Linked DNA regions of Xenopus tropicalis. The protein of the gene in region 4 interacts with the protein of the main gene of each other region in a biochemical or structural test. Links are inferred from orthologs where the notes say so. Each region holds a gene or a part of one and is shown on either strand. Other genes may lie near its edges.

Region 1 (8,682 bases), on a different chromosome or scaffold from region 4:
TGTCATTGGTGGCCAGTGGGAAATTTGATTGGTTGCGCCCCGTGCGTCCATACGCACGGGGCGCAACCATATGAAAGGTGCAGATCAGCGGAGGGCCGGGCACAGATCGCGAGGACGCAGAAGAGGAAGGTGAGCTGGAGGAAGCCGCATGGGAGCTGGAGGGAGTCGCTGGGTGTGGGGCGGGGGACTGGACGAAGTCGCTGTGGGGGAGCTGGAGGAAGCCGCTGGGAGGGAGCTGGAGAGGGTCACTGGGTGTGGGGGGGGAGCTGGAGGAAGTACCTGTTGGGGGGGTCGAGGAAGTTGCTGGGGGGGCTGGAGGAAGCTGATGTTGTGGGGGGGGGCTGGAGGAAGTTGCTGGGGGGGCTGGAGGAAGTTGCTAGGGGGGCTGGAGGAAGCTGATGTTGTGGGGGGGCTGGAGGAAGTTGCTGGGGGGGCTGGAGGAAGCTGATGTTGGGGGGGGCTGGAGGAAGTTGCTGGGGGGGCTGGAGGAAGCTGATGTTGTGTGGGGGGGGGCTGGAGGAAGTTGCTGGGGGGGCTGGAGGAAGCTGATGTTGTGGGGGGAGCTGGAGGAAGTAGCTGTTGGGGGGGTCGAGGAAGTTGCTGGGGGGGCTGGAGGAAGCTGATGTTGTGGGGGGGGGCTGGAGGAAGCTGATGTTGTGGGGGGGGGGCTGGAGGAAGTTGCTGGGGGGGCTGGAGGAAGCCGCTGTTGGGGGGGGAGCTGGAGGAAGTAGCTGTTGGGGGGGGGTCGAGGAAGTTGCTGGGGGGGCTGGAGGAAGCTGATGTTGTGGGGGGGGCTGGAGGAAGTTGCTGGGGGGGCTGGAGGAAGTAGCTGTTTGGGGGGGCTCGAGGAAGTTGCTGGGGGGGCTGGAGGAAGTAGCTGTTGGGGGGGGCTGGAGGAAGTTGCTGGGGGGGCTAGAGGAAGCCGCTGTTGGGGGGGAGCTCGAGGAAGTTGCTGGGGGGGCTGGAGGCAGTCGCTGGTGGGGAGGGAGCTGAAGGAAGTCGCTGGTGGGGTGGCTGGAGGATGCTGGGGGAGCTGTGCAGATGTTGGGGGGAGCTTGGGCACATATCAAGAGGGGGGAACCGCAGGAAGCCACTGGGGGGAGCTGGAGGATGCTGGTGGGAGCAGGGGGGAGCCGGAGGATGCTTGGGCAGGTGGGAGCTGGAGGATGCTGGTGGGAGCAGGGGGGAGCCGGAGGATGCTTGGGCAGGTGGGAGCTGGAGGATGCTGAGGGGGAGGACAAGGGAGGGGGGTTAACTGGAGGATGCTGGGGAGATGCTGGCTACTAATGTTTTAGGGGGCCCCGGGCTACCACTGTTTTAGGGGGCCCTGACTACCAATGTCTGTGTGTCCTTTTTACTAATGGGAGGGGCCATTGAGGGGCAGGACGTGGGTGGAGGGGGGCCCAGAAAATTTTCTTGTGATGGGCCCCGTGATTTCTGATGGCAGCCCTGCCCAGATGCATGAATACCCACAAAACAAACTTGTAGTTTGCTAAGACTAGTTGGGTTAGTTGCCAAGGTTATACAAGTACCAAGTTTATAAGTATTTCATCTATACATATTGCCAGGAGTTGCAATTTTTAGTGCATCTGCTGAGAAATTTTGTAAAGACTGTATCAAAAAAGCATTATCCATCTATGACCAGGAGATGGCACTCTTGGGTATATATGCTTGTTGCGCTTGTCAGTAGTAGTGCTAGCAATATATCAGTTTTTACAAATAATGTTCTCTGCCCAAAATAAGCCACACACTATTTTAATTAACTGTAAATAATATTAAATCATAATATGGGCTTCTGATAGCGGCAAACACAAAGGATGCAAAATATGCTGAAGTACTGGTGCTTCCACGTAGGTGACATTCCAGTATTTAATAGTTCACATTGTGCTTACAGTCATGTGTTTATAGGCAAAGAGAATATCCATACCTGTTTAAATTCAGCACTCACACAAGTTCATAAAACTGTTTGAGGGTTAAAGTTGCCTATAGTTTAAATAAATATTTTTATAGCCATCTGAAAAAAGGAAAAACACTGGCAGATATGAAACCAGTCATAAGGTGTGCTCAGGCTACATAACCCATTGCATACCAACTGCAATAACTGGGGGGTGCCAAAAAAGGTTAGGAACCCTCTAGTGCTTGTAACTTTCCTTCTCCTTTAAAGGAAACATTGACCTTATATATCTGTATTTTGTATCCCCTTTGAATTGATATTAAGATATTACTTATTGTATGCACAGAGCATTCTGTAAAGAGTTGCACAAATGTTCTAGTGCTATATAACTTGTGTAGGATGATTGACATTTACACCTATATGCTCTTACTGCAAATAAATAGAGAAACACATCTTTGAAGTAGAGTGTATTTCTCTTCAAATATTTCAGATATAACCCTTTGATGAAAAACAAGTTACTTTAAGGGTGCTAGAAGGCATGTTAGAGCAAAGCAAAGAGAATTTTGGGGGATTTGGTTAATGGTACCACACCTACTGAGAGCATGTACGGAATCCTAGCAGTGAGTGCTATACTTTTCAATGGCACTCTCGAAAGTGGAGTAATGGAAAGTACTTGTTTAACAACTGCATTACAGTAATGGAAATATCTCACGAGTAGACAAAGGAGCAGTGTTAATAATTTGGCCAAAATGTACCTTCCGTTGGACTCCATGTTTCCCCCACTTCCTTGTTTAGACTATTGCCAATACAGAAGCTACAAGATGAAACCTATGCCAGGGTTAACTATAATATGACACCTAGTTCAATTGGGACATTCAGGTATAATGTGGGCTGCATGTGAATGTTCCACCCCTCTCACACTATTGTACTAAGCAGATATGCAGATAGGTAAGAGGTTACCCTGTGGTGCTCCTTGGCTGCGTTGCACAGTTTTTTTTACCAGAGGAGGACAGGGGCAATTTTGAAAGCTTCCTATATTGCTAGAGAATAGGTGACAGGCCTATAATGGGATTTCTTATTATTAATGCAAATGCTTATATAATACAGGTATGGGACCTGTTATCCAGAACCCCAGGACCTGGGGTTTTCCAGATAAGAGGTCTTTCTGTAATTTGGATCTCCATGTGTTAAGTCTACTAAAAATAATTTAAACCCAATAGAATTGTTCTACCTTCAATCAGAATTAATTATATCTTATTTGGGATCAAGTACAAGGTACTGTTTAATTATTACAGGGAAAAGGAAATCATTTTTTAATTTAAATTATTAGATTAAAATTGAGTCTATGGGTCTTCCTGTGATTTGGAGCTTTCTGGATAACGGGTTTCCAAATAACTAATCCAATACCTGTATAAGGAATTTTCACTTGATGCTATGGCATGCAGGGACATACTGGGCTTCATTTAGTATCATAGTTACATAAATGTGCACACATTTAAATGCATTAAAATACCATATGCCATAAAATACCAAATGCATGTGAATAAGATGCTTCAATGAAAGTGGTGTTTGGGGAATCCTTTACTATACATGTACTACCATAATAAATTCATGCTCCATTCACCCTTCATCCATCCTGACAAGGGCACAAGTTTGCTCAAAAGTTTATACTCTAATTTTCTGGTGCCAACTATTTGGTGGAAACACATGGCAGATTGTACTGTATGTATATGGCAGTGTTTCAGGCATCCCTAGAAAAGAATGGAGGACATTGCTCCAGAATGCTTACAAACAAAGATAGGAAGGAAATAAGTGATAGCTGATGACTAAAGACAGTATAACAGAAGATCCAATCTTTTTATTAGGTTATTTCTGAACACCAGTAATCCCCTCAATATTAACACATGTACACTTTTAATGAGATTGTCACAATTTAAAAGCCAAGAGAAAACAACCAGACTCATTTTCCCTGGCTGCTAAAGTTTATATTTATAGGTTACATTTGTTTTCTGTCCTAGAGGTTGTGATCTAGGCAAAAGATATTGTGCTTTCTGCCCCCAGGCTGTTATTGAACTACATTCCCTGAAACACACCGGAAGACTAGTACTTATGTCATTTTGCCAACAAGATAATTCTTTAAATCAAAAAGCCTTGTGCAAAGTTGTGCCGAAAACTCTGCGACCCCACAGGTGTATTTCTTCCAACAGTCCCCATTTATCATTCTATCATTTATTTAAATCATTCGCAGATTCCATTTGTCCTGAGCTAAAGAATGTTCCAGGACACATAGGCATGAAACAGCCTGCCTGCCTTCATTCCTTTCTATTTAGTTTATATTGTGCATAATACTTAACCTTGGACAGAGTTAATCCATTACCTGACTGTGAATATGCCCCTGTTACTATGCATGCACTTTGGGCTTCATTCACACTGTCTGACCAGCAGAAAAATGAACTAAAACTGCAATACAATATAAGCAATGTGAATTCATTGGCAATACTGCACAGTTACACAATATTTGCTCCATTAAATTAATGATTACATTTACTGCTAGGAAATGTGACTGATTCAAAAGCAGTTAATACATTTAAATATAACATACCATTAATACCTTTTCTCTGTATAGCCAAACAAAACATATACAGTATTGCAGATAATGTTGTGAATTTTAGTCACAGGTACAAATTTTTAATTGTTTTTATTGCAACAATATGGCCTTCAACCATAACCTTGACTTCTTTGAGCAAACCCTAGACCTTGCACCCATACATTTAAACGGATGCACTGGGAAAAATATAACAACAACAAAATAAGTAGACAATAAAAATGTAAAAATGACAGAGCTTACCATTAAGCTGAAGTATGTGAGTAGCTGTTTGGGGATACTTAGTGTCTACTGCTTTCTTCTCCTTCCAGCCTCTACCTAGGCAACTAAGAGAAGAACTCAGACTGAACCATCCTAGGGCAAGTGTTGTTGAAGTGCATGTGTGCTAAGCTGCGCCTCACATACATACAATGTGCAATGGATATCCTAATATGCCTTTCATTCAACTTGCTGGGCAGGTTTCAGCATTCTGTGTAACATGGAATGATACCAGAATTTGTTGGCATAAAAGTCCAGTCAAACCGGTTCCTCAGTCAGCCAAAAACCAGTCCAACCAGTCTGCATCAAAGCACAGAGAAACATGCTGTGGCTGAGCACCGCTAAGCTCCATACAGTTCTCTGAATGATTGATTCATCAGGCGCCTCCCAACAAATGGGGAGAGAATGTTGTAGCCTCCAGCAAAATAATTTTGCAGGCTGTTGGGGGAGTGGCAAGAGTGTCTGTGTCAAATACTGACAGATTCTACCGATTCTACTGCTCTCACAATATCTTTTGTTACATATAAATGAATGCAAATTGCACTTATATAGGTAAGCATTGCGTTGCAGTATGAGAGCATATCTTTTGTACACAAAACATTCCTTCTCTACATAATGACCTTGATATACAGTAAATGTGTGTGAGTGGCCATATTGTTGCCATGGCAATGGAAAGTGCCATAGATAAAAACAGTACCACCTATTTATGGCCCCTAGGGGAACTTAAATATTGTAAATATTTACAGTAACTGAGGCAAGCATTATGACAGCTCTCACTGATATGCATCATTTATTCCACTATAGCTGTTACAAATATGCTGGTCCTTCAGCTGTACTTACATAAAGTATGTTGATTACTTTACTTTGAAAACAGGCTCATTTACTGTGTTTAAATATTGAATTACACTTCAACTCATCTGAGTTTCAGTTTCCTAAGTTATAGTCAGAAATGTATTCTTGAAAGACAAAAGGCTCATTTTTGAAGATAAACTGTTGCATCTGTATAACACAATAGTTTTAGTTATATCCATAACTGAAGTATAAAAAAGGGATTCTTACCATGGATAATAAAGGTACAATATTCCTTCCTGTGGGCTGTAGAATGTGTGTTGTCAAGGGTTGCCACCTTTTGTGGAAAAAATGGCTTCCTATATTTTTGCCTTTTTATCCTAATAATAACACTAACATCACACAAAATCTTTAACGGCCAGGCGAAATTACACAAAATCTTTATTGGCAACCCTAGTGCCGTCCCAGTAGTTAATAGTTATTTATTATGTTGAAGATGTAATTCAAAATGTTTTTATATGCATGTATATTGTTACATGGTCACCTTGTGACCAATGGCGCATTACAAGGTGTTTAGTGTCTTTGTCTGTAAACCCCCCTATTCCCATTCATTATGTGTTATGTAAGTTTCTCCCATCCTTTTTTCCTGTTCCTGCTCCGAGTGTAAAGGAGCTGCTTCAGGGGTTGGGAAAAAAGATTCCTGTTGACCTCAGCATTTGTACATCCATTCTGAATTAAGAGCGTTTGTGGATTCCAAGTATCTGGTGAGTTCAGTTATCTGGCTAAAATTGCCCACATTGGTTGTGCCCAGCTCCTTTCAGAACTAAACTATCTAGAGCAGCATGGTTGCTTAAAGGAGAAGAAAAGGGAAAAACTAAGTAAGCTTTATAAGAAAGGTCTATGTTAACACAGCCATAAGCACTCACAGAAATGCTGCACCCTCTATCAAAAGAAACACAGGGTTTCTTGTCTTCTTTTGTGTACACATGTTATTCAGTGTCAGACTTCCTCTCTCAGAAAAATCCTTCATTCCCTGGGCCTAAGTCTGTGCAGCTCTCCCCCATCTCTTGCTCCCCCCTCCCATAAGAATTCACTCCCCCTCCCATCAGATTTTAGAGGTGTACTATGCTACCAGAAGCTACAGAGACCAAGCTAAAATGGCTGCTATCTTAAACAAATGGAGGGAGCTTTCTACAGCTGTTTTCTCAGGTATAGTAAAGCTTTCTGCTATACTAAATATAGTGTTGTAGCTTGCACTAATGTCACTAATCTATTGGCAGTAAAATGCCAAAATAACTTTCCTTCTCCTTTAATGTCAGTGGTATTAAAAGTTGCTTGCCACTACATCTACTTCTTCATAATAAGTAATCAAAATAAAAAATCACCTCTACTGAATATTTTACTTATATGGTAACACTACTTTCACTGGTAACATCCACAGTTCTAATCTAATTGATTTTTTACAAGCATATGGTGGTGTAGGGAAAATATTTTTTTCTTTGTAATTAGGACATAATAGTCTTTGTCTAACAGAAAGAGTCTTATATTAAGAAGAATGCACAAGCTAGACATGGCTTGAGTTTAAATATTTGCCTCTAACTGTTAGCAGACTTCAGGTTAATTTTGACAGTTTTATTTCCTGAGGGCCTCAAAGAATGCTGCATGCCTTGTATATTACATGATTCTGGTATACAGCTGTACTGAAAATCTAGAACCTACATGACTACAGACTCACTCAACTAGAGTAAATGCAGCCTAGAAGTTTGAAGGTATAAAGAGAGATTTCCAACCCTTTTTACTTGTGAGCCACATTTAGATGTAGAAAGTGTTGGTGAGCCACATTTGCATGAAAAAAAATATTTGGGGATGTCAAATAAGTGATTGGCCATTTGGTAGCCCCATCTGGACTGCTTACCTGCAGGAGGCTCTGCAACTTGCCTCCAAGCCAGGAACTAAAAAATGGGCATCTATTTTAGGGCCACTGGCAGCAACATCAAAGGGGGTGATGATGCTCCTGAGCCACTGGTTGGGGATTACTGGTATAAAGCATTCAAGCATGGGAAAGATAAAGGTTCAAAACACATTATACTAAGGGGCAGATTTATCAAAGTGTGAGATTGGAGCTCACCACAGTAAAGTTAAAATACTTTATTGGGGGAAAGTAAGAGTTCACCATTTGATAAGTATGCTTCAAAAACTCCCGTAGAAATGAATAGAAAGTGGTTGAGGTTTTCTGTGGCGATAAACACACATGTATGGACATGGACTCTGCTAATATTTAAGGACTTTGTTCTGTTGTATTCATTTTAATACTTTTGGTAAGAAAGCGGTCTTACCTTCAAGTGCAACATTTCATTATATTTTGTGGGCTTTCTGCTTGAAGTAGCGCAGGTTTGTGATGCAATTGTGACTTTCCTTCTCCTTTAAGCTAATCCCATTTACATGGGTTTATCCCATAGGCTAAAGCTCACCCACTAGGTTTTTAATGCAGAAGCCAGTATAATAGCTGATTAGATTCCCAACTACAGACCGGTTTTGCCCTTCTTGGGGCTCATCATTGTAGTGCAGGGTTTTTTGATCAGCTTAGGTAGAGCCACACGTGTGGATTCACAAACAAATAATTAGGGTTGAGGAGACAGCTTCATACAGATTCAAATAAACAAAATGAATTCTGGGAATGAATTCCTAAGGATTCCAAAAAATCCCATTTACATGGGTTTATCCTAGAGGCTAAAGCTCACCCACTGGGTTTTTAAAGCAGAAGCCAGGATAAAAGCTGATCAGATTCCCAACTACAGACCGGTTTCGCCCTTCTTGGGGCTCATCAGTGTAGTGCAGGGTTTTCTGATCAGCTTAGGTGGAACCACACGTGTGGATTCACAAATGATGAGCCCCAATAAGGGTAAAACAGGTCTGTAGTTGGGAATCTGATCAGGTATTATGCTGGCTTCTGCTTTCATTCTCAGAATTCCTTTTGTTTGAATCCACACGTGTGGCTCTGCCTAAGCTTATCAGAAAACCCTGCACTACACTGATGAGCTCCAAGAAGGGCAAAATCTGTCTGTAGTTGGGAATCTGATTGACAATTGTCAAGGTAAAGAAAGTCCCTTTGGATTTGTCTAGATCAGGAATATTT
Region 2 (8,512 bases), on a different chromosome or scaffold from region 4:
GTTACTAAAAAATTAGAATGGGCACACCATCAGCAATCCCTGTATTGGGTGCAGCATCAAAGAGTGCCACAACCACATGACTTTACTGCTCCTAAAATACAGTGTGGATGCTCTCATAGATGAAATAGTCTTTACAGAGAAGGATGAAAACAGATTTGTCTATTAGTTATGATGTTTGTAAACATACAATGGAATAAAAGATACCGTAAAATATGGTACTATACATTAAAGCTAATGAACAACCAAAAATACTTGAGTACTGTACTAAGAAATCTGTAATCTCTACTTACTTCTTGTTTGCTCTGAAGTCCAAGGACATCAACAAAAGCACTACAGATGCAGCGAACATGTACCTCACGAACTTCTTTGGCAGATTCATAGCCTGGAGGTACAACACTAAGGAAATAATGGACCATATAGCAAAGAGCTTCTTTTAGGGGAGCTGACTGAATATTCTTCAGGATACCTGCTTTAAAGAGAGCAGCAAGTTTTTCCAGCAACATGTTTAGATAGACAGGTTCAATGCTTAGGTAAGATTTAGATTCAAATATGAACAAAACCCTTACTAATTCTAAAAGTGGCATCTCATAGAGAGACAGTTCTTCTAAATCCATGTCTTTTATATAAGTTAGTATCCCAAAAAAAACAATAAAGAAAAAATATGCACCCTGTTCTGGTGGACCCCCTAATTTTATTAGTTCTCTTAAAAAATGTAACGCTTGTATCTTAAGTGGTGTAGTTCCATAGTCCAAGAGAGAGCACCCGATGCCCCAAAGAAGGAGGTTCTGCCTTTGGAAAAACACCGGAAAGATATCATTTTCATTATCCATCAAAACCATTAGCAGAGTGGATTCTAAAGGCTCAATGCACTGCATGTTTAATAGTTGAAATGGAGCGCATCGCAAATAAGCTTGGTTCTCTGATGCATTGCTTAGAAATCTAGAGACGGTCACAGGCCAAACTATGGATTGCTCCATGTTCTGTTCATGTATGCAGATAAGATCTTCAAAAAGATGTAATAAATCTTTTGTAAGAACACCAAATAGGAAAGGACTCTTGTTCTTGAAAAGAAAAAGCAGGGAGCGGATGACTTCAGCAATTTTTCTATGCAAAGCTTTGCAGCTTGGTGTAGCCCCAATGCGTAGGACCCGGGAAATGATCCAGTTGCTAAATGCTTTAAAAAAAAAAAAAAAAAAAAGTGAGTCAGAACATTTTTCACATATAAATACGTGTTCACAGATAACATATGAGTCATTATCACTGCAAATAATCACATTTCCAGAGATATTTGCGAATTTTTTTTTACCCATAATGTGTTTTTAGAAAGCATCCCAACACAATACATCATATTCATCAATACAGGCGCAAAACTTGTGTCCCATTTAGTAAATTAACAGTACCAATGAGAGGACTCCCGATGGCACATAATGAATAACATCTTTGATTGAGTATTTGATGCTAGAAATACCAGTAGCTCCAGGCAGATGTGCAGTACAACATTCCCTTCCTTCACAGTACACTGCACCTTGCACACTATTGTACAGAGCATAGAGAGACTAAAACTGGTGCATTTTAATTGCCATGATTCTAAATCAAAATTTGATGCTAGCACTGTGCCTTGTGATCAGAAAAAAGCCTTAACATGTTTAATGAAGTCTACTTTGTGTTAAACATATGAAGCTGTATATAGAGAAATAAGTAACTCTGTGTATCACGGATAGGACTGTGGTTAGTAAGGTCTGACATGGAATTGTGTTATGCAAGCAGGAATACCCATTTTGATCCATTAATATGACAAACACTGTGCATTCTATACCAATATACATAGGAACAAGACACCCATATACACAAAAATGTAAAGCTTTACGTTTTCCTTTAATGCCCTTTACCCGCACATATCGCTTTAAGGGACAAATGAAAGCATGAGCTGCCTATCGAAGAAGGAAAGGTTTATTCTAAAAAATGCTTTACCATACCCGAGAAAACAGCCCTAGATGCTTTCTCCATTTTAGTTTTGTTTGACTTCATTTCCTTGCCTACATCTCTGTGTTCAGATTACAGTAGAGAGGAGGGGGGGGGGGGAGAAGGGAGCAAGCTGCTCATGCTCAAGCCCGAGCCCTGGAGGTTTGAGTTGAGAGAAGGAAGTCTAATGCAGAAGCTCATGTGTACAGAATAGAAGGAAAGAAAAGCAGTGTTTCTTTTAACAGAGCAGTACAGTGTTTAGTTTTCACCTTTTTTTCTCCATTAACCATTTATCTGGAGTAGCCACCAATGATCCCCAATGAACAGTCAAAAAAAACTCACCAACACAGTTCTGATTGGTTTCGGCAGACTGATCAACATTATTTGCACTGAGAAACATTAATGGTGAAGATTTCATAATGTGTTGAATAAAATCCAGCAACATTACAGAACTTGGCTGAGAATCAGTATTCTTTGACAGCTCCACAGCAACTATAATCAAACAGAAATACACGATAATGATTTTTTTTTTCTGCATGACAATTAGCCTAAACAGTACAATAAGAACGATCACAGACAATGAACCCTTAAACCCTGCAGATTAAACATTTTAGATGCCTGGAGGTCTCTTAGTAGGAAAGTTGTTTTACAGCTCAGCCATCTGGCACTTTATAACATATTATTTATATACAGCTGCAATATATTTGAACTAATTTTCAGCTTTTCTATGATAGGTGAGCCCCCAAGCCCATATTTATATTTATCATTTTGTTATTTGATCCCTGCTACCCTAAGACCTTCCCGTTTTTGGAAACCAAGCATGAGCAGATCCAATAAAAGGGTGCCTGTGCAAACACATAAGAACAGATAGATCAGTCTATGTTACAGTCTCCAGATAAATCCCACACAATGGAAAAAAAGGGTTTAGCAGGAAGGTAAAATAAACAAGAAACCTTTTTTCTTGTATGTTTAATGTAGGTTTAACATACCATTTCACTCGTACACAATAGTTAATAATGTGTATCGCTATGCATGTTTCAAGGATATTTACAAATGAGCATGTCAGTAATTAAAGTAATGAGCTATTTCATTAGATGCTTATGAGATTCTGTGTATACGTTAAACTGCCCTATTGTTGGAACAGATTTGGAAAAAGACACAGTAACCCTTACAGCACATTCAACCAGACAGTGCAAGGCTCCAGACAAATTTAGGACAAAAGGAGACAGATCATCTCCCTTTAGAGGGCAGTGAAATGCATTTCTCAATTTTTCATGAAAATTTGTCAAATGACTTGTTGAGAATGCTCAGTCGCTGTGTCATCAATCTGCATACCATTAATTCTATTGTCAATCACGGTGTGATTATTGTTATAATATTTTAATTTAAATCTAAATCTATCTAAAAAAGGTGGCCATCCCCTATAATAAGTTTATATAAGGTCTAGACATCTGTAGCAACCAATCAGCAGGTGGCATTTACTGGCCACCTGTTTAAATGTAAAAATCTTATTGGTTGCTATGGTTTACTGCACCTGGGCAACAAGTGTGCCATTAATACATAGATGCATTTTGGATCAAATAACTGAGTCAGCATTGTAAGAATGTAATGCAACATATAAATTAAAAGACATACCAACGTCCACATCTGTCAGAATCCGGTCTATAAACTGGCAAAGGATTTGTCTTGGTTTCTGAACAATAGTGTTATATTCATCTGCCTCCGCACTGTTAATTAAGAAATGGAAGGTTAATTATATTCAATAAATAAATAATTATTCACTAACTTCTTAGACAATATGGATGGACAGCCTCACAGCAAAAAACTCTTTCTACTTTAATATGGAACTTCTTATAAAGTTGTCAGACTGGGTAAATGTTTCTTTAAAATGTATACAATATGTTGTTGACGGTTAAAATATTATTGGTACAGAAGTGTCAGGTGGTTCCCCCAAGTGAGTGTATATGTGTGTCCGTGGCCTGTGGTAGGTGTAGGCCCCAGGCAATGTCACTAGTTGCGACCAAAAATTTATTTTGGTGACCCTATAATAAAGTGTCCTGTTTTACTAATATATGTAATTATTATTATTTTTATTATTTGGGACCCCACTGAGTCCTCTACATTCCTAGACCCAACTACAGCTGCAGAGTCAGCTTCGACAATAGAACCCCCCCCCCCCCCAGCAGCCTGAGGGACAGGGAATATGGAATAGCCGGCTGATAGTTAAATCCTAAGTATACAGTAGCAGCATGATATAGAAAGCCCTAGTGAGGCTCCAGCAAGGAATGTACTGGGTTAATACCCTTGTTGAATGTTGCACCAGTGGATATCCATTAGACATGATTCTCTCGGCAGATAACCTTTGGAGGACATTGATGGTGCTGTGGTTGAAATCTGAGAATACTAAAATCAGCTGTAACTCAGTTGCTGTCTAACTGTATAGTATACTTATTAAACATCTATTCGCTGGAACCTAAAGTTGTCATTTCTTTTAACAAACAGGGCTGTATGTGTGAGCATCACTTTAGCTGTCACTTGTTACTATGCAGCTCATTGCTGGTACTTGTTGGATGCAAGCAGTGAATTTATACATTTGCTTGCACTCACATCCCTGCAGACTTACTCACTGGAACACAAGGAAGTATCAAACCCAGTACTGAAGAACAGCACATGCCTCAAGTCACAGAGAAATCATTAGCCCAACAAGACTTGCAAGAGGGATTAGTTGAGCCATGTTTCCTCTCCATCATTACTGTAGCCAGTCATAGTCACATACTGAAGCACATAAGGTCTTTCTATATGTAATAATCAAACACCGGCACCCCGGTTAGCTAGCGGATACAGGGAGTTGCAGCTGTGAAACACCTGGCGAGGTGGAACTGTCTCCACAACTACTGGCAGCCCGAAGTCATGTCCAGCCCGGGAGCTTTTACCTGGCAAGTTCCCGCAAGGCCGGGATCATGGAGGCCATTTCGAGCCCGGGGTCAGCAGCCATGGTACCGGCTCAGTCCCAGAGCTAAAACCCCCCAAAAACTACAGAATCCGAATTTGCGTAACGGAGGCGGGAGAAAAACACGGTACGGAGGCCCTGGTGTCCAAACTTCCTGTATATTCGTTTGCACATTCTCAGCTGTAACTTGCTGCGTTTCTTTCTATGCTTTGTCATGAGTTACAGCTATCGGCGTTTCCGTGTGTTGTTTTCAAGGCAATGCTGCAAATTGTAACTAGTATCACTAATACTAGTATAAGCCTTTTTTCGCAGGCAGTAACAGACTGACCTTTTTATTAACTCACTTTATATTTATTTCTTTCTTTATTTAAATTCGTTTTTACTTGCTTTAATTAACCCGCCCCTATCTGCAACATAGCTCTTAATTAAGTAAAATTTAAAGGACTCCCCCCCCCCCCTCAATCTGAGGCAAATTGGAGAGGCTTTAAATGGGGTTTTTGCCTTCCTCTGGATTAACTAACCAGCAGATTCCTGCTGCCCTTAGGGGCCCATTCACTAAATCACAAGTTTTTATTTTGAGAAAAAAATCATATTTTTTCTAATTTATAGGACTTTTCGTAATGACCGCGTTAATATCGTTAAAATTGCACAACTTTTTTGTGGTTTTCGTTAACTTACACGAAAATGTTGTATTTTTCACAGAGACTACAACCATTTTGGAATTCATTCAAGCATTGGTATTGTGACTGTCTTTTGCCCAAGTTGGATCTGTAGAGTGCCATTGACAAGGCTTCCAAAATCATGCATTGAAGTTTCAAAGCCAAAAAGGTTTTCGCGTCGCTTACAATTGTTCGGATATGAAAATTTTGTGACTTTTGGATTGCAACCACGATATTTTCGTTCAATGGAGCAAAAATCTTCGTGACATTTTCGCACATCAGAAATTATCGTGGCTACTCCGAATTTTTGCCAACCATGCTTGTAACCACCCAAAATTAGTTTCTTTAATGAATGGGCTCCTAAAACTTGAACGCTATATATGTGTGTCTTTTTTTAACCTAGATTACAGTATAAAGTTAATACACAGCCTAAATACTTGAGGCCTAATTTATGATTGCTGGAATAATCATAATTCAGGCCCCCTGTATCTTCTTGGAGAACCACCCACTTCACCATAGCACCACATGTTGGCAGTAATATGGACTTATTAATGCTTGTGGTATTAGGGCTGGTCGTGCTCATCACAGATGTCGCTGGTTGTGATCACATCATCGCTGGTTGTGCTCATCACAGATGTCGCATCTTGGGCCATTGTTGATAGTGTGCCCTCGTAGGTGTTTCCAAACTTAGTCACTTAGTCTCTTCTCTGCCAAACAGCTAACAATGAGAGTTAAAGGCTGTTGCCATGAGCTTATGATTAGAAATGCAAATTGGGAAATATGAATTAACGATACCACAGCACACTGGTAACAGATTCACTATCTGCAATATTAATAGCAACAATACACAAATATACAGTTTAAACAACATACCAGAACCTTTTAATGTGGTATACCAAAGGATTCACTTCTACACTGAGTCTGCATTTGAGTCCCTGTGTTGGTGAAATACACCAAGGGTTCTAAGCAACTCCACTTCATGCTGGAACCTTAAACTGCTCACTAAAAACCCTTGTCATGCTAAGTTGAACATAAAATCTATCCCTCATCTGACTAATACCCATTTAGAAGGTCCATTTTTTCCAACTTCTTCCAAGGCCTTCACTACTGCAGGGCACTCTTCACTTTAACTTTACCCTATTCTCTAAACACACATCCCCACTCTCTAAGGGTTATCCAAGCGAAAGATAATGACTCATACCCTGTATTTTGTACACACCAGGGGTCACTTTATATACCTGTTTATATGAGACTCTAACCCACTCATAGGGTATGACATCACCAGGTGGAGCTATACAAGCTTTCCTTCCAACTCTCACATAATACCTCGTCCAAAGGGAAAATCACTCTGCACACTTTGGGACTTAATGCTGTAGGAGTGAACTTTTGCTGTTCCCCTAGATCAGTGATCCCCAACCAGTTGCTCATAAGCAACATGTTGCTCACCAACCCTTTGGATGTTGCTACCAGTGGCCTCAAAGCACAGGTGCTTATTTTTGAATTTCTGATTAGGAGGCAAGCTTTGATTCCATAAAAACCCAGTGTAATTGACAAACAGAGCCGTCTGTAGGCTTCCAGTCAAGATAGGGGCTGTCAGATTGCCAATTATAGCTCTCATTTACACCCCCAGGACCTTTTTTTTTTGTGTTGCTCTCCAAAACTTTTTCCATTTTAATGTGGCTCAGGGGTATAAAAGGTTGGGAATCCCTGCCGTAGATTCTGTTTCTGTGCTGCAGGTTTCCCCTGGGTAGATCAACTTGCTCTTCCTACCTTCCTCTCATTTGCCCCTTGTCATGCTTGCATAGGAAATTCTGTAAACACAGGTATGAAGTCTATTATGGGAATGCTTGGAGTTTTCTGGATAAGGGGTTTTTCTGTAATTTGGAGCTTTGTGCCTTAATAACAACCCAACAATTGTTTTGCCATCAATATGGATTTATGCTAGTTTAGTTACCGTCAGTACAATATACTGTTTTTCCTCGAAGAGAAAAAGCAAAAACAGTTAACATTTTTTAACTACTTGTTTAAATAAGACACAATATGAGTCAATTGTGAACATAGCACATGGTGAAAAGTGCACTTCTTGGATGCCAGTTGCCAAAATTCTGTGTTTTTCCGAGAATTCCAACAGCCAGGGGCTAAATTGCATCTGGTACAAATGCATGCAATCCACCAAAACAAATGCTAATTACCTAGTGAATTTCTGTGAAATGGGTGCAAAGTATGGGTGGCATATGTAGAGTGAGGATGGTATCACTTCCTGCACGCCAGTTCTCATATTGGTGTTTGATGTGCACTGATACAATAATTCAATAAAATAGATACAGCATACAGTTTTGCCCTGTTGATTGCAAATTTCTTGAGTGAACCACTTTGACTGTATGAAAGTGTATATATATTCTGGAGAAAGAAGACTTGTTACTTTTCTTGTGATTCCCAGATAAATCTTCACTAAAATCGCCAGTTCGAGGGCAACCTACATTTAAAGACGTCAGAGAAATCTAATCCTTGGCAACTACGAATCATGTGAAACAGTGCCTGACTAGCTCCCCCTTCCTGTCTATCAGTTTGATTGGATTATGGCTGTGTTTTTTTCAGATGGCACGTTTCTTGCACAGTGCTGGTGCCTAGAAGATCCACAAATACAGAGAGCTGCAAAAGTTACTTAGGAAAAAAGGCAAAACAAGCAGTTGTTCCATTCAGAGTTTATATTAGAACATGCAGGTAGGTTCTTGAGGTTTTCTTAGTATATTGATTATACATGCATTCATTGCAGCCATACTCTATTTAAATGCCCAAACAGAAATGTCTTATTTATTAATATAATGCCACCTTTCTTGTTATAGTTTGTTCATGACAAACATGCTGCTTCATTAATCTGTTTTACCCAGGACTCCAATGGCTAGTGCACATTTAGTACTTACTACACAGGAAAATAGGA
Region 3 (7,887 bases), on a different chromosome or scaffold from region 4:
TTGTTTTTATTCATTTAGACAGGCTGTTCATATTATATAGTAATATTACCTCTGGGTAGACACCAATTAAACTTTCGGCCTTAGTGTAGAACTCCTCTTTTAAAGAAATGACAATGGCTTGGAAGTTAGACATTGACTGCTCTTTAATATAATTTGCCACCTGTGGACAGAAAGAAAAAATATTCATGTAACTGAACTCCTCCCAGACTCCCTTGCGCCACTATAGTAGGAACCACTTGTTTAACACTATTACTAGTTTCTTCTAAGAATATGTTCACGATCAAATTTAGAAGTGCTGCTGTTATAATAAAAGCCCATGAGTACTCACCTTTCCTATGTTGGTATTATCCAAGGCAGCGTCAATTTCATCCAGTACAAAAAATGGTGATGGTTTGTAGCTAGGTATAATAGAAATAGATAAGGTACTGCTCCCCGGGTAAAGCTGAGTTTATTAACTACAGTATGCACTACTTTCATCAGTTTATTTTGAAGTCTTTTTATTTTGAGACTTTAGGCTCATTTATAGCATGGGGCAGAATATATAATTCTATGATATACAAAGTTGCCCCATGTTCAAATGAATTCTGATACAGCCAAGACTGAGTTGCTTAAGTTTCTATCACCTTAACAGGGTTACTCACAATTTTAAGGCACTATACCCATCTGGTTTGACTACAGCCAATCAGGAGGTACTGTACGTGCCGAGTAGTGAATACATTCTGCCTAGGCAGAGCTGCCCAAGATAAGCAAAAATACCTGTGAATAGCAAACAGCAGAGCAAGTGCCGCTACAGTTTTTTCTCCTCCAGACAAGTTGTCCATTGGCCGGAAGCGCTTACCAGGCGCCACGCAGTTGTAATTGATCCCATCTAAGTAAGGCTCCTCTGGGTTCTCTGGTCCCAGAAAAGCCTGTATGAGGAAACCGTGTCAGAAAGCAGAGTATAGCAACAGCCAAAAACAAATACATAGTGGTCTTAGCTTGTTACCTGGGCACTGCTGTTTCTAGAGAGGGCCTTGTAAATTTCATCAATGTTTGTGGCAACAGACTCAAAGCATGCATTAAACCTGTCAAATCTCTCCTTCTTGGTCTGCTCAAAGGCCTGCTTAGCCTTCTTGGCTCGTTTTCGAGCAGCTTCAAACTCTGTAAAGGGGAAAAAAATCATAAAATTTATGGACCAATTATTAAAAAAACTAAAAAGGGCAGTGGCATGGTTTTTGCACCTAGCCTAGTTTCCTCTGGTAAAAAAAATTAAGCACAAGGCAATATTTGCCCATAGGTAAGGTTATGTATCTGGCAGACCCAAGGAACTGGCTAGCAATGCCCAATTTTAGAAATCACGTACTTATCTGAAGCTTCAGTATTACATGGATATAGGCCTCTGCGGTTGCATACAATTGTTTTTAGGTATATAAATGCTGAGAATGAAAAGCGATACCATGACCTTCTGTCTTTTGGAAGCCAAGCATCAGCATGAAACTAACAAGCACCAATAATGTAACAGTGCAAAGAAGGTCAGCTGTAAAATAATTTTTTACTACTTAAACACACATAATATTTGCTGCCATTTTGAACTACAACTACATTGTACAACCGGAGCAAACCCTTGTAGGTTCATTGCATCTGCATTACTCACCGTCTGATGTCTCTTGGAACTTATCTCTGACGCTCTCAAGTTTCTCCATGGCCTTCATGTTGGGAGCAGCAATCCTCTGTAAGATGCTCTGCTGCTCATTTAGCTTCTGATGCAATGCGCTCATCTCCTGTTTGATGTCATCATCGGCCACTGCATCCTAAAAGGAAAAATCAATTCCACCTATGAAAACAGGATTCATAACCAAGACAAGCATACAGCAAACTACCCAGCATGCATGCAGAAAGGCATAGCAACTACCTTTTTAGCCACACATTTAATTCTGTGAATTGTCTGTTAAAAATTGTACTTACTTTCAAATCCTCAGAGAGGTCACTGTAATCTATTTCAAGTAATGCCTCTTTTGCATAAACAGTAGAGGATCTCTGGGAACTGCTGACAGACTCCTCTCCTTGAGACCCACCCTGAAAGAGAAATGATGCTGCATCATAAGGATTGCTGCCATACATAAGGATTGCTTTAAGGGGAAAGGGAAAATAAAAGGACAAAGAATATTCAAACCTCTTCTTGACTGATATCATCCATGGTGCCTTTGGACAGTGGCAGTTTGATATCCTGCATCTTGCAGGCCTGGAGCAGATTATGGCGGTCACTGCGCTTCTGTTCGAGCTTTGTTTCAATGGCGGTGACTTCCTTTTGAAGGTGGGTGACTTCCCTAAGAATAATCATGCATTTGTTACATTATATTGGACGAGACGTTGTGCTTCATTACAGACTTCATTAAGCAAACAGAGAAGGAGGTACTGACTTGTTGGCACTCCCCAGCTTTTTACGGATATCTTCCATAAGATGGTTCTTGTCGTTCACCTCTGACTTTTTAGCCAAGTGCTGGTTCTTCAGATCCTGCAACTGGGCCATCGTCTCATCGATTATCTTCATGTGTCTCTGCTCTTCCTAAGTATACAGAAAGTTTTTAAAGTATTTTAAAGGTGCCATCTTTTATATACCATTCCACTGAACTTTCGGTGGGCACATTTTGTGTCAAGATGTGACAGCACAAAAATATCAGTAGGCCCGAACAAGCCTATGAATTGGTATTTTGTTCTTCGTTCACAGTCATCATCACCTTTTTGAGTTTTTCTATTTCATTATCATCTTTCTTTACAGACTGCTCCCATGTCTGCACTTTGCCCTGGTCCTCTTTCAGCTGGTTCTTCTCGTAGTCTAGCTGAATGCCCAGACGGGTCTTCTGATTTTCAAATTCCAACCTGTAGTGAAAGAACAGCAGAAATTAAATCAAGATCTAAGGTCTGTGAAATAAAAAGACATCATCAATGGATTATGCAAAAAAATAAAAATCTACATTAATGAAGACTATTTCAATTGTGTGCTGAAAAGCAGCATAAATAACTGAATATTGCAGAAAAGAGTTTGTATAGTGGAAGTAGAATATTAGTGGTTTTTCCCAAGGACCTGCAACTATAGTGCCTGCCCTATTACTACACATTAGTCCCATGTGACATCACACTTAGGAATACTTACAAACATTTTTATTTATTGATGCAAAAGGCACCCACCTTTTCTTGGCAATCTCATTTTGCCTCTTAACCTTCTCCTCTTCAAACTCTCTGATATTTCTGACACCTATTTCCCGACAGAACTCTTCAAAAACCTCATCTTCCACCTGGAAGACAATAATGGTATATGTTAGGTACAGACTGCTTTAGTACATTTCCCATATACCTGCAATATTTGTATTTTTTTCTTACAGTTGTAAAGATAAATGATCCAGTGTCTTCAGCAATAGCAGGCAGCCCCTTCCTAAGCTGTTCAGTAAACTTAAGTGGCGACCGGCTATCCTGTTCAGTAGGAAACCTATCCAATATCATCAGAAACAAAGCAGGGGGGTTGACGGAGGCTGCCTGTTGCAGCAGAGGAAACCAGATTGATTCTTTTTACAACAGTAAGAAAAACAAAAAGGGATTTTTGTCTTACCTGTAAAATCCTTTTCACTCTTCACTGAAAGGGGGACACAAAAGCACTGAAGGATTAACACCACCTTCCATAAGGAAAGGAACTGGAACTACCCAGAAAGTACTAAAGACGGTAGAAGAAAATAACTTTATACATAAAAAAAAATATAACCGTGGTATGTTTGAACTCTGCGTTGGCAACTTTTTACATCCAGCCCTGTGCAATGGGGTGAGAAGAATTCCCAGAAGGCAAGGGTGGGGGAGACTCCCCCACCCTAGTCCTGATGGAAAGTAAGAAAGGGAGGTTGGCAGGACAGGGCTGTAAGCTCGGAGACTCTTCTGGCTGACATGATAGCGAGCAGGAAGGCTGTTTTCATGTGAGAAGTGTCTCGGATGCCACTGCAAGGGGCTCAAAAGGGGGCCCCTGGAAGAAAGAGTACCAGATGGAGGCCCACCCCGAAGTAGCAGGGCCCGACGTGGGTATCCAGAGCAATCTGGGATTGGAATAGCACAGAAAAGGGCAGAGACCTGGGCCTTGAGAAAGGCGAGATGAGGCCCTTGTCGAGACCCTGCTGAAGGAAACCAAGGATGTGGGCTGTGTTGAAACGATGGAGAGGGAGATCCTGGGCTGAGCACCAGGAGTTGTAGGTCCACCACATGCAAAGGGGACGGTTTCCTGGCAGCAATCATAGTGGTGATAATTCTATCCCCAAACCCATGTTGATGTAGAACTAGAGTTTCAAGAGCCAGGCCATTAAATGAAACAGCTGAAAAATTTGGGTGGAACACTGGTCCTTGGCTTAGGAGATCTGGCCAGTCTGGAAGAGGAAAGAGGGTGGACTGTGAGAGATTGATGTCGGTGAACCAGGCTCTTCGGGGCCAGTGTGGAGAAATGAGGATGGTCCTGACCTTCTCCCTCTTGAGAATTTTGGGGAGAAGAGGAAGAGAAGGAAAGATGCAAACAAACTGGTAGGGCCAGGGGGCTGTGAGAGCATCTACTCTTATGGTGACTGGGTCTCTGGACTAAGACATGAAGCTTGGAAGTTTGGAGTTGGTTCTGGAGGCCACAAGACTGAGCAAGATCAGAGTTTGGAAGACCTCTGGGTGAAGAGCCCACTCCCCTTGGTCTAGGGTCTCTCTGCTGAGAAAGTCTGCTGTCCAATTGTCAACTCCTGGGATGTGCATTGCTGATATCACCAGAACATTCTCCTATGCCCAGGCAAGGATGCGGAAAACCTCCTGAACTATACCCTTGCTGCGGGTTCTCCCCTGATGATTGACATATGTCACCGCAGTGGCACTGTCGGCCTGAATTTTGATGGGCTTGCACTTGACAAGATTTGTCCAATGTAAGAGAGCTAGGCAAATGGCTTGCAGCTCTAGGACGTTTTTGAGAAGAGATTGCTGTGGTAGACATCTGCCCTGAGCTGTCTGTTCCTGGCAGAGTGCAGCGGATCCAGAATGAGAAGGAAAGGAGAGAAGAATAGGCGCCAAGGGTAGAGTGGGTGGAAGAAGAGTGCTACCCGCTACAGTACTTAAGGGAGGGAGCGAGAAGCAGTGAAGATGCTGACTGCAGGTCCGGTGCAGAAGCACCCTTATGGTCCCGGACTGCCAAATCACTGCCAAGTGGGAGAAGAAATTGGGAAAAAAAAAAATAAAGTAAAATAAATAGGAAAAAAGGGGAGTTATGTCATCCTCCTTCCATAAGGACACTAAAAGAACTGGGTAGTTCCAGCCCTCACAGGGGGGTGTAGCCTGTTGGGAGAGGCAGCCTGGCCCCCTGGAATAACTGCCACCGCTTGTTCTTTTAGTGTCCTTTCCTCCCAGAAAGTGGTGTTAACCCTTCAGTGACTGTGTCCACCTAAAATGAAAGAGAATATGCATCTATATTTAAAACGTGTTTCTTTTTAGGAAATCTATCAAAATCCCTCAACTTAATTGGATGACTTTACAACCCCTTTAAATACCAATATCAGATAGGTTGTGCAAGCAGCCATCTTTAGAAGGTCTGAGGTGATGAGTACGTATAGCAGCAGTTAAGGGAGGGAATGATGCCTCTTGTGCTGTTCAACCTAACGTAAGCAAGTGTGTATTGGGTCCTTGTAGGACTAACAAATGCTACCAATATTCTGACAACTAAAAGCAAGCAAGCAGTTCTTATTCCCAACCACTCAAACAGGTGAACAAAAATATAAATAAACAATAAAACACAGTAAATAAAAAAAAACTTTGAGTAAGTGTAATTTTGTGAAGGAGTTACATTTCCTTTAAGGTTCACACTGCTCCTTACCTGATTCATTTTCTCCTTCAGATCTTTCATTTCCCGTTCTCTGCTCTGAATTATCCGCTTAATATCATTGATACGAGGGCTAAAATTGGCCAGTTCACTCTCCAACTTGGATTTTTCCTGTTAGGGAGAGGAAAGAAATAAATAGATTGGGAAATCTCAGACACTATGACCAGGGGATCTCCTGCTGGGCCTCATCTAATTCAGACAATTCCCATCAGCCCATTTTCTTTTTATATATGACATCTATTACATTTACCACTGTCTAGAGGTAATAGTTATCACTGTGGACCCTCGATGTTGGATTTTAATACATGCTTGTGAACAACCAAGATCACTGTGCCCACAAGACAACTGCTGACAAATGCATAGAATATAATAGAACATATATGGACAGCAAAATAAGTTTTTTTGCAAATCTGGCTACTTACCTGCAAGTTCATAGCCAAATGCCGGGTTTTGGTTTGTTCCAGATCACTCTGGGAGTATTTCAGCCTCATCTGTAGACCATGGGCTTGGGACTGCACCTGTCTCAGTTCAGCCTCTTTGCGTTTGGCTTTCATTTGCTCCTATAAGAGATAAGCCCTTGTCTGTGAGACTCTCTTTGTTTGAGCCATGTAACCAAGATTTTTAGCTCCTTAGGTAAAAACGTGACTGGTACCTCCACAAGCTTTCTAAAATACTTAATTGGCGTGTCTTTCTTCTGATTAAGTCTCACCTTTAGTTCCTCTGTTAAGCGCTCCTTTTTCTCCTTGAGTTTATCCACTGCTTTCTCATCCCACCTCCTGGCCTTGGCTTTTAAGTCACTGGCACCTCCAGAGATCACACCAGACTTCTGGAATAAGGTTCCATCCAGGGCCACTGTCTGCAGAGCAAGAAGATACAGTGTTTTAGTTAAAATGTACCACATTATTCAGAGCCTGCTAAGATCATATAATACTAGAAATTCAGCTAACATCTCAGGCATCAAATAAAGAAATGGTTATTGCTTAAAATTCAATTCACTCTGCTCAGAGTTGCCTAATATTCACCTTATGCCTTTGATGTCCTCCAAAAGCAATCCTGCGTGCATCCTCTACATTGTCACAGACCAGGGCATTACCACAGGCATATTGTAGAGCTTTCTTGATATGCGGAGGCTCATATCGGATAACATCTATCACCAGTTTGGCTCCTTTCAGCTCCCTTAGCTTCTCATCTGTGGGTTTCACCTGGAAGTAAGTAAAAGACAATCAGCTGTTATCAGTGTTAAGATGCAGGTATAAAGTACCCAAACAGCATCACATTAACAGTAAGAATAAAACTTATCTATTCTTGGTCTACATAGCCAACATTCATTCAACAATAATAAGATAAAGTAAAATGGCAACCTCCAAATAATCAAGAGGAAGGAAGGTTTCGGGTTCTCCACGCTGCTCTTTGATGTACTGGATGCAGTCTCTTCCTGTCTTCTCTGAATCAACAATGATAGCATCCATATTCTTTCCAAGCACCTTGGTGACTGCAATCTGGTACTTCTTCTGGGTGGGCTGGCAAAGGTCAATCAGTCGACCATACTGAGGAATAGAAAAGGGATAAATTAATGCTTCCATTGTCCATGATCAACTGAGTGTCAATATGTAGAGGGGACAGATGCCTTTTGAAAATTCCAAATAATCAAACTTACCACAGATCCAGGATACAGTCGCTTTATGCTCTCCATAATCTCAGCTTTCCGCTGCTGTCGGCTACTCTCTTGCCTGTCAATCCTAGCATCTCCCAACTGCTCCATCACCTGATTCAGCTCACTGTTAATCTCATCAATCCTTCGCTTGGCCAGCTCCACCTCTTCAGTTAAGGTCTCCTCCAGGTTCTTCTGTTCTTCCAGTGACTGCCTGTAAGAAATAATATGACAAAGGTGATTATGTGTAGCTATGTTGTCCCTTACCAGTCCTAAAGATTGTGGAAGACTACAAACAAACAACCATCACATACTTGCTGGTGGCAATGTACTCCTCGAGTTTCTCAATTCTCTTCTGGTTCTCTTCTATCTCACG
Region 4 (7,887 bases):
TGCTCACTGTATACATGGAATATTCCATCTTTGAATGTACCCCAAATAACTAAAGCCGTATATGTATGTATATATGTATTGTATACTAACTTGCTTATGACAGGAGAAAGCTCATTAGTGTCTTCCATTTCATCATCCAGATGACCAAACAACAGCCATTTTATGATTTCTTCTTTCAGAGAGCTTCGAGTGCCATTGGCTTCATGCATGGGATTATCGAAACCCACACTGACGTGCTCCGGGAGGCAACATGAGGTGAGGGCCACAGCCAAGCAATGAACCCCAGGGCTGCAAGGAAACACACAGATTCAAGCAAACCTTGCCTCCTCTGCCAGGTATGATGGTGTTAAAACACACTAATAATATTCTTTAGCTCTGCAATGGCATCAGGTTTGTGGTTAATACTGTATGTATCACTATTTCACCAACTTTTTATATACTCAGCTATTGGGAACATGTCAGTTACTCTTACTCTACAGTCAGGGCCGGAATTTCATTTTTGGGCACCCAGAGGCCACCCCAATTCACATTTTATGAGTGGCTACCCTTTCCGCTGCACTGTGGCTACTCTTTCTGCTGCACAGTGGCTACTCTTTCTGCTGCACAGTGGCTACCCTTTCCGCTGCACAGTGGCTACCCTTTCCGCTGCACCGTGGCTACCCTTTCCGCTGCACCGTGGCTACCCTTTCCACTGCACCGTGACTACTCTTTCTGCTGCACTGTGGCTACCCTTTCTGCTGCACAGTGGCTACCCTTTCCGCTGCACCGTGACTACTCTTTCTGCTGCACAGTGGCTACCCTTTCTGCTGCACCATGACTACTCTTTCTGCTGCACTTTGGCTACCCTTTCCACTGCACCGTGACTACTCTTTCTGCTGCACAGTGGCTACCCTTTCTGCTGCACCGTGACTACTCTTTCTGCTGCACAGTGGCTACCCTTTCCACTGCACCGTGACTACTCTTTCTGCTGCTCAGTGGCTACCCTTTCCGCTGCACCGTGACTACTCTTTCTGCTGCACAGTGGCTACCCTTTCCACTGCACCGTGACTACTCTTTCTGCTGCAAAGTGGCTACCCTTTCCGCTGCACCGTGACTACTCTTTCTGCTGCACAGTGGCTACCCTTTCCGCTGCACCGTGACTACTCTTTCTGCTGCACAGTGGCTACCCTTTCCGCTGTCACGTGGCTACTTTTTCTGCTGCAAAATGGCTACCCTTTCATCTGCACCGTGGCTACCCTTTCTGCTAAATTTACTGGGGGTGTCTAATATATGGGCAGCATTCAGTGAATTTAGCTTTCCTTATCCTTTAAGTTCCATAACATTGTTTTTTGTACACTTGAGACCAGAGGGCTCATTTACAACACACAGAGAAAGGGGGAGAGGGCAGAAAAGCAGAAAAAGTGTTAATTACAAGACGGAGCTGCTATCTCGCTCCCTTCCCATTGTTCTGCTGATCGGCTGCTGGGAGGAGGGTGATATCACTCCAACTTGCAGCTCAGCAGTAAAGTGTGACTGAAGTTTATCAGAGTACATATAAAAAAATCTGTGTTTTTAAGGGCTCTGGCACACGAGGAGATTTGTCGCCGGCGATTTTTAAAAGAGCGATTTGGCGACAAGACGAGCGACAAGACGCCAATGGAAATCGCCAGCGTCAAAACATACGAGGCTACTTCAAATCGCCTGCTGTTTCAAATCGCACACAGACCCTTTTCTGAGCGACTTAAGTAAACATGAGGGGGGGGTTAACTGTTGAGTGTACCATGGGTAGCAGATCGCCTGGAGCTCAACTCGCATGAAATCTCTTCGTGGGTATTGTCGTGGCGACTTGTCGCCAAAGCGCCAGGAGGAAAAACGCAGGCGACAAATCTCCTTGTGTGCCAGAGCCCTAAAAAAACGGATTTCAATGCAGGATTCTGCTAGAGAAGCTCTATTAACTGATTCCAGGGCTCTGATGAGCTATATCCTATTGGAAATTGGCCACAGGTAGTTTCTAGCTCTGTTTACTGCAAGGTTATATACAGCCAAAAATGCAATTATGTGCAATGTGCCACACCCTAGTGATACCTAAAAACTAAATAACATTTACTTAACTTATCTCACAGCTGAACAGCTGTGATTACACTGAAGGCAGCACTGGTCAGGGTCTGTGCAAAAAGAAAGAATATAGGGTTCTATATGGCTGCACCCTAAATCTGAAGGTAATTTTTTGGTGATAGAGGAGAAAAGTCCCAGCAGCAAATTCTCACAACAAAACTTTAAATTTTGAAACATATCTTTAAAATACAATTCGACCTTTAGCTTCTTCTTAAAACTCTTTAAGCACCTGGATGGTTTGGCAGCAGCTCCTGAAAAAATCTTCCAGAAATCTGTGTCAGCCGGTATTAGACCTCCTTGTAAGATGGAGCCCAGTAAGGCAAAACTTTCCTCTTCTGTTTGGGGAGAACTGATGCTACGCAACGTAACAGCCCAGATTTTAGACCACAGTTTGTACAGATCTGATTTTGGTGTGATCTTCACATCTGTTTTTTGCTTTTGACAAACGGCAACCTCTTTTAGGCAGCGAAGCACATAAGCGGCCCTCTCGCCTCGTCTCTGCTGGGCAAGTAACTGGTGTAGAACCGTCAGTAATGGAGTCAGCTCATTGCTAGGCAGGCTCACTGGGTATCGGGCAATCAAGCAGGTTGCAATTTGTAACCTAGAAACGTTGAATACAGAAACTGTCAAATAACAAAATGACCACAACTGCCAAAATCCAAGTAACTTTATTCATTTTTCTCTCTATATGATCACTTAGGACCTGGGTGCATAAAGGCAAGGGCTACTTCTGGCACTGCCTAGTAGGAAACTTAGCCAAAACCGATAGGGGTGGCATACCATACCCCCCTTGGGCATTGTGATACTTAAGTAAAAGCAGTAGGAAAATCCCAGCTCTTGTATAGGAAATCAGAATCCAAGTGCTGTTTCAACAGTAGATAATCCTTGGTGGTCCACTACTGAACCACTATTGAACCAATAGGAAAGAGCAGATGTCAGCATATTATAACTTCTGTCTGCAGGAAAATAATTTTCAGTTACCTAATAATCTTCTCTGGACAAAAGTAATTGTATTTATAATATGCTGAGATCTCATCTAATTTGTAAATATTTATTTTATTATGCTTCACAAATAGTGTATAAATTTATATATTGAGTGGGGCCACCCTGAAGTGCTTTTGGAGTTGTTTTTAGGACTGAGATATTAGTTAGTGCTATGTGCCTATGGATTCTCATACTATTGTGAGAGCACCCATCTTGACCACATGCATTTTTCTGCTTAGAACAGCCAATTCTTAGCAACTTTTCAACTGGTCTTTTTGGTTTCTTTATTTTTTTTTATAGTTTAATTATTTGCCTCCTTCTTCTTTCAAGCTTCCAAATAGGAGTCACCAAATAGGGGGTCCATGAACTATAGCTCTGCCAAGCTACAATTTTATTATTAATCATTTTTATTATTTATCTTTTTATTCAAACTTCAAAGCTCCTATTCATAATATAGTCTCTAATTCAAACCACTGCCTGGTTGCTAGGGTAATATGCATCCTAGCAACCAGATAGCTGCTTTAATTTAAATCTGGAGATTTGCTGAACAAAAAGCTGAATAATTCAAAAACCACAAATGATAAAACATGAAGTTCATATTACCAAGGGATGATATCAAAATCTTTATGGGACTTCTGAAGGTTGTCACGTAGCACTTCCCACCCAAGTTCAATCCTTCTGCGCTTGCTGGGGGCTCCAGATGGTTCCCTTTGGGTCACTAGGAAAGCAGCCTGTGTGATATCCAGCACCTGAGTGTCTTCAGTGAATAGCTGGACAAAGAGAAACTGGGTTGTTATTGGCTGGAAGGACTGATCTTTTCACTATAAAGCAGATGTGGACATTGAACGGGCTATGGTAGGTAGATGGTATTAATGTCTATAAGCAATAACCTTTTCCACAATGCTCTATGAAAATGGAAAAGATAAAAACCAGTTCAACAGAGACCAAGACAAGAGGTCAGAATTTATTCGTTTTCCTAAAATGTGGTGCTGTCCTCCTTGGTGGACCAGAATTTACTGGTACCAACAGCAACATATTTTTAAAGCTCAATTAAATTAATATATATTGCTCAGAAGTTTCTGGCAGAAAACAAAAAATTTACCTGATGACAAATGTCAGCCATCAACTCAATCAAGTTTTCCTTGGCTGCAATGTTTCGGGAGCCTGAGGAATATTTCCCTCTGCTGCCTATCTGGCTGATCTCATTTACCAGTGTGTCATATAAGTTGTACAAGTTCCTTTTCCATCTGTCTGGATCAAAAGCGTAAGCACCTGGGTAAAAATAAAATCATTAAAAACATTAATAAAGCAAATTCCATATGTCTTTATCAGAGCTTTCCAGCGACGTTTCAGCACTTCACCCTTCCCATATTAAAGTGGTTGCTGTTTACTCTTGAGTTAGATTTTAGTATATTGTAGACAGTTATTTTGAGACAATTTGCAACTGATGATCATTTTCTATTAATTTGAGGTTTTGAATTATCTCTTTGGAATTTTAGCACTTATTTGGTTGCTAGGATTCAAATTACTTTAGCGACCAGTAAGTACGAATGAATGAATGAGAGACCTAAATAAAAAAATAAGTAATAAAAAGTAAAAATACCAATAAAATTGTAGCCTCACAGAGCAATAGTTTTTGTGGAAAAGATTTTGTTCGATCTACTCTGTAAATGTTTGGGTTCTTAAGGGGTCTTAAAGTATAAAAAGAGTAAATGTACTTGTAATGTACTCAGAACTACCCCTTATACAATTCTAGAAGCAGCAAGCATATCACAAATCTCAGGGGATTCAACAACCACGCATTGCATGGAAAGTTAAATGTGAGGAATTAGAAGCTGCACCTTCATCTACAGTCTTGGCTCCTTTTGGATGATGAATTCGAAGAAGTAACCTGAAGAACTCCACAATCTCCTCCTTCAGTGCATCTTTAGGCCTTTGAATTGTCCAGATCCGCAATACAGTGAGGAACAAGTCCTCCCCCAGCCTGCACACTCGCATCCGGCAATTCCCTGAGGCGCTGGTAAGGAACACATTCAGAGCAGAGAGGATCTGATCCAGACCAGGTGGGTTTCTCTCATCCCTGGCAAACAAAGCAACACCAAAACATTACCATACTTTAGAGAAGGAACCAGTCAAACATCTATTTCTTTTCAATGATTTTTATTTGCATTTTAACTTTTACAGGTTGGATATCAATATAATGTCATTTTGTATTGAACAATCTATTTCCTTAAAGAGAGAAGAGAGAAAAGAGAGAAGAAGGAAGAGAGAAGTGGTAGTCAAACATCTATTTCTACTACTGTTTAAAGGAACAGTAACACCAAAAAATGTATATATTTTAAAGAAATTAAACTATAATGTACTGCTGCCCTGCACTGGTAAAGTTGTGCGTTTGCTTCAGAAACATTACTAGAGTTTATATAAACCCTGGTGTGTAGCCATGGGGGCAGCCATTCAAAAGAAGAAAAGGCACAGGTTATATAGCAGCTAACAGATAAACCCTGTAGAATACAATGGTGTCTTATCTGTTATCTGCTATGTAACCTGTGCCTTTTCTCCTTTTTTCCAGGTTGAATGGCTGCCCCCATGGCTACACAGCAGCGTATTTATATAAACTATAGTAGTGTTCCTGAAGCAAACACCCTAGTTTTACCATTGCAGGGCAACAGTACATTTTATTTCAATTACTTTAGAACACTTTCATTTTTTGGTGTTACTGTTCCTTTAAGGAAACTAGCACATACTAGTACCCAATAATGATGTACTAAAGTCTCCCTAGTGTCCAACATATTTTTGTAAGAGAAGGTTTGTCTGTTTGCCCTCCACTGAATCAATTTTTGTTAGTTTTTTTCATGCTACCTAACCAGTCATAATATATTTACGAGCTATCTTTGTAACCTATATCAGCACAACTCTAGAAAGAAATTATTGGTGAATCCTGTGATTAACTACCGATGTTGGAGTCAGGTTGTTGTTCACCCAAAATGTGCAGAAACATGTAAAAAATATACTAAAATATATGCTGTTTAGGACAAGGAACATGGGAAATTTTGGCAAAACATATGCATCACCGCTTTATAAAGTTGGTTGAAGTCGCTTCTCAAAAAAACTAGGGGCTACGGATAAACATCCTGTGTGCAATTGCCAAAATCATTCAGTACACCCAATTTGCAATTTAGTCAGGATTAGTTTGTATTAATAATGAATGATTGTAGTTGCATTACTATGGAACAGTCAATTAGGTAAGAATGAAGAATTGTTTATATTTAAATAATATACTGTGGGCACTGGCATTTCTGATATCAAACCATTCTGCGTAGGGCCTTATGGATAATCAACTAACAAATGGAATGTTTAACCTCTTGTTAAAGGAGAACTAAACCCTAAAAATGAATATGGACAGAAATGCCATATTTTTTACACTGTACTTACTGCACCAGCATCTCAATAGCAGCAATGATCCAGGACTTTTAAACTTGTCACAGGAGCTCCCCATCTTGGAAAGTGTCTGAGATACTCCCATGCTCAGTGCACTCTGGGCAGCTGTTGGAAAGCTAAGCTTAGGGGTCTTTGAAAATTATCAAGCAGAAAATGAGGTTTGCCTGTCATATAAGTTAATGCTACAGGGCTTATTATTAAATTCTGATGATAATTGCACTGGTTTCTGAGTTACCATGGAGTAGTTATCTGTATAATTATCTGTCGGTCCCTAAGCTCAGGTAAGTGACAGCAGCTCAGAGCATGGGCAGTGAATCAGCAGAAAAGAAGATGGGGAGCTACTGGGGGCATCTTTGGGGGCACAGATCTTCGCTTCTACTATAATTAAAAGTGTAAGGTTAACTATAATTAGATTCTTACTGCATTTATATATACATATATGGAAACATAACAAGGCTGATGAGTACTAAGAAAGAGATACTTGAGGCATTGCCCTGGACAAGGAAACTGGGCACAAGGATAGGAGTTCATTTTTCATTTACAGCCAGAAATTCTAAGGACCAGATCAGATGTACCCAGAAACCTAACAAAGATCTCAACAGAAGAAACATTCAGCTGCTGACACCAACAAAATGAAACACTATAGGCACATTTACGTCTGCAACTGCAATTTCAAGGGCAATTGCCATGTTTTTTTTTTCCCCCAGAATGAAGAGTTTTTTACCTGGACCTGAATATTTTTGATGTCTGCATGGCATCTTTTCTGGTGTTCGGTTCGTGAGTGATGCGTGTAACTAAAATGCAGTTATTAACACAGATCACTAAAAGTTTGCTGGACCGACTGCCTGGTCAGGAGGTTGCAGTAGCGCCGGGTTCCCCTTCGTCAATAGGCTTTAGGTTTTACATGCAACTGACTGTGGGAAGAGTGCAGGGACTTGACAGCACTTGCAGACATACGAGAGCTCTTATATATTTATCCCATGAAGACATGTGAGCTGTCACCCATATAAAATCAAAGATCTTGTACCACAGTAGCGCTGCTTTCTGGGTAAGAACCATTTACCTGACTCTCTTCATTGTCTTTGAAAAAAATTGGAAGAACAGGGAGTGCAGTCCGTCAGTCTGCTGGCAGCATCCTCTGGTCAGAGTGTGAATTATTCTAGCAACTAGCAAGCGGTTCACAGTGCTCTCTGGTTTTAGATACAAGCTGAAGTAGAGGGTCACTAAGTCTGCAAACAGATACATAAATATGTGTGGAGACCAGAGCAGCACATACACACTGCAGAGCTGGCTGAATGGATTATTTCTGGCAGCAAGGAATACAAAGGCATAAATAGTAAAATAAATCTTTGCATATAACCATTTCAAGAT

What was found.
Region 1: of the proteins of atm (region 4) and rbbp8, one has a biochemical effect on the other in vitro, tested with the Homo sapiens proteins (4 studies listed by BioGRID, with this or other methods). The link is inferred for Xenopus tropicalis from reciprocal best matches to the Homo sapiens genes ATM and RBBP8.
Region 2: of the proteins of atm (region 4) and atr, one has a biochemical effect on the other in vitro, tested with the Homo sapiens proteins (2 studies listed by BioGRID, with this or other methods). The link is inferred for Xenopus tropicalis from reciprocal best matches to the Homo sapiens genes ATM and ATR.
Region 3: the proteins of atm (region 4) and smc1a form a complex in vitro, tested with the Homo sapiens proteins (2 studies listed by BioGRID and IntAct, with this or other methods). The link is inferred for Xenopus tropicalis from reciprocal best matches to the Homo sapiens genes ATM and SMC1A.

Annotation. Positions count from the first base shown.
Region 1 is NC_030682.2:108,887,425-108,896,106, reverse strand, and holds the start of rbbp8 (DNA endonuclease RBBP8), read right to left. Parts: upstream 4,962-8,682; 5' UTR 4,743-4,961; intron 1-4,742. UniProt on the Homo sapiens protein: Endonuclease that cooperates with the MRE11-RAD50-NBN (MRN) complex in DNA-end resection, the first step of double-strand break (DSB) repair through the homologous recombination (HR) pathway.
Region 2 is NC_030681.2:119,659,063-119,667,574, forward strand, and holds the start of atr (serine/threonine-protein kinase ATR), read right to left. Parts: upstream 5,005-8,512; 5' UTR 4,958-5,004; coding exon 4,896-4,957; intron 3,690-4,895; coding exon 3,598-3,689; intron 2,455-3,597; coding exon 2,305-2,454; intron 1,175-2,304; coding exon 291-1,174; intron 1-290. UniProt on the Homo sapiens protein: Serine/threonine protein kinase which activates checkpoint signaling upon genotoxic stresses such as ionizing radiation (IR), ultraviolet light (UV), or DNA replication stalling, thereby acting as a DNA damage sensor.
Region 3 is NC_030684.2:23,834,221-23,842,107, reverse strand, and holds part of smc1a (structural maintenance of chromosomes protein 1A), read right to left. Parts: coding exon 7,826-7,887; intron 7,726-7,825; coding exon 7,518-7,725; intron 7,408-7,517; coding exon 7,222-7,407; intron 7,063-7,221; coding exon 6,883-7,062; intron 6,717-6,882; coding exon 6,570-6,716; intron 6,421-6,569; coding exon 6,283-6,420; intron 5,972-6,282; coding exon 5,855-5,971; intron 3,276-5,854; coding exon 3,169-3,275; intron 2,860-3,168; coding exon 2,718-2,859; intron 2,546-2,717; coding exon 2,400-2,545; intron 2,307-2,399; coding exon 2,153-2,306; intron 2,056-2,152; coding exon 1,945-2,055; intron 1,791-1,944; coding exon 1,634-1,790; intron 1,141-1,633; coding exon 986-1,140; intron 909-985; coding exon 757-908; intron 399-756; coding exon 329-398; intron 161-328; coding exon 50-160; intron 1-49. UniProt on the Homo sapiens protein: Involved in chromosome cohesion during cell cycle and in DNA repair. Central component of cohesin complex. The cohesin complex is required for the cohesion of sister chromatids after DNA replication.
Region 4 is NC_030678.2:159,879,898-159,887,784, forward strand, and holds part of atm (serine-protein kinase ATM), read right to left. Parts: intron 7,746-7,887; coding exon 7,580-7,745; intron 5,159-7,579; coding exon 4,920-5,158; intron 4,351-4,919; coding exon 4,181-4,350; intron 3,849-4,180; coding exon 3,682-3,848; intron 2,696-3,681; coding exon 2,324-2,695; intron 289-2,323; coding exon 91-288; intron 1-90.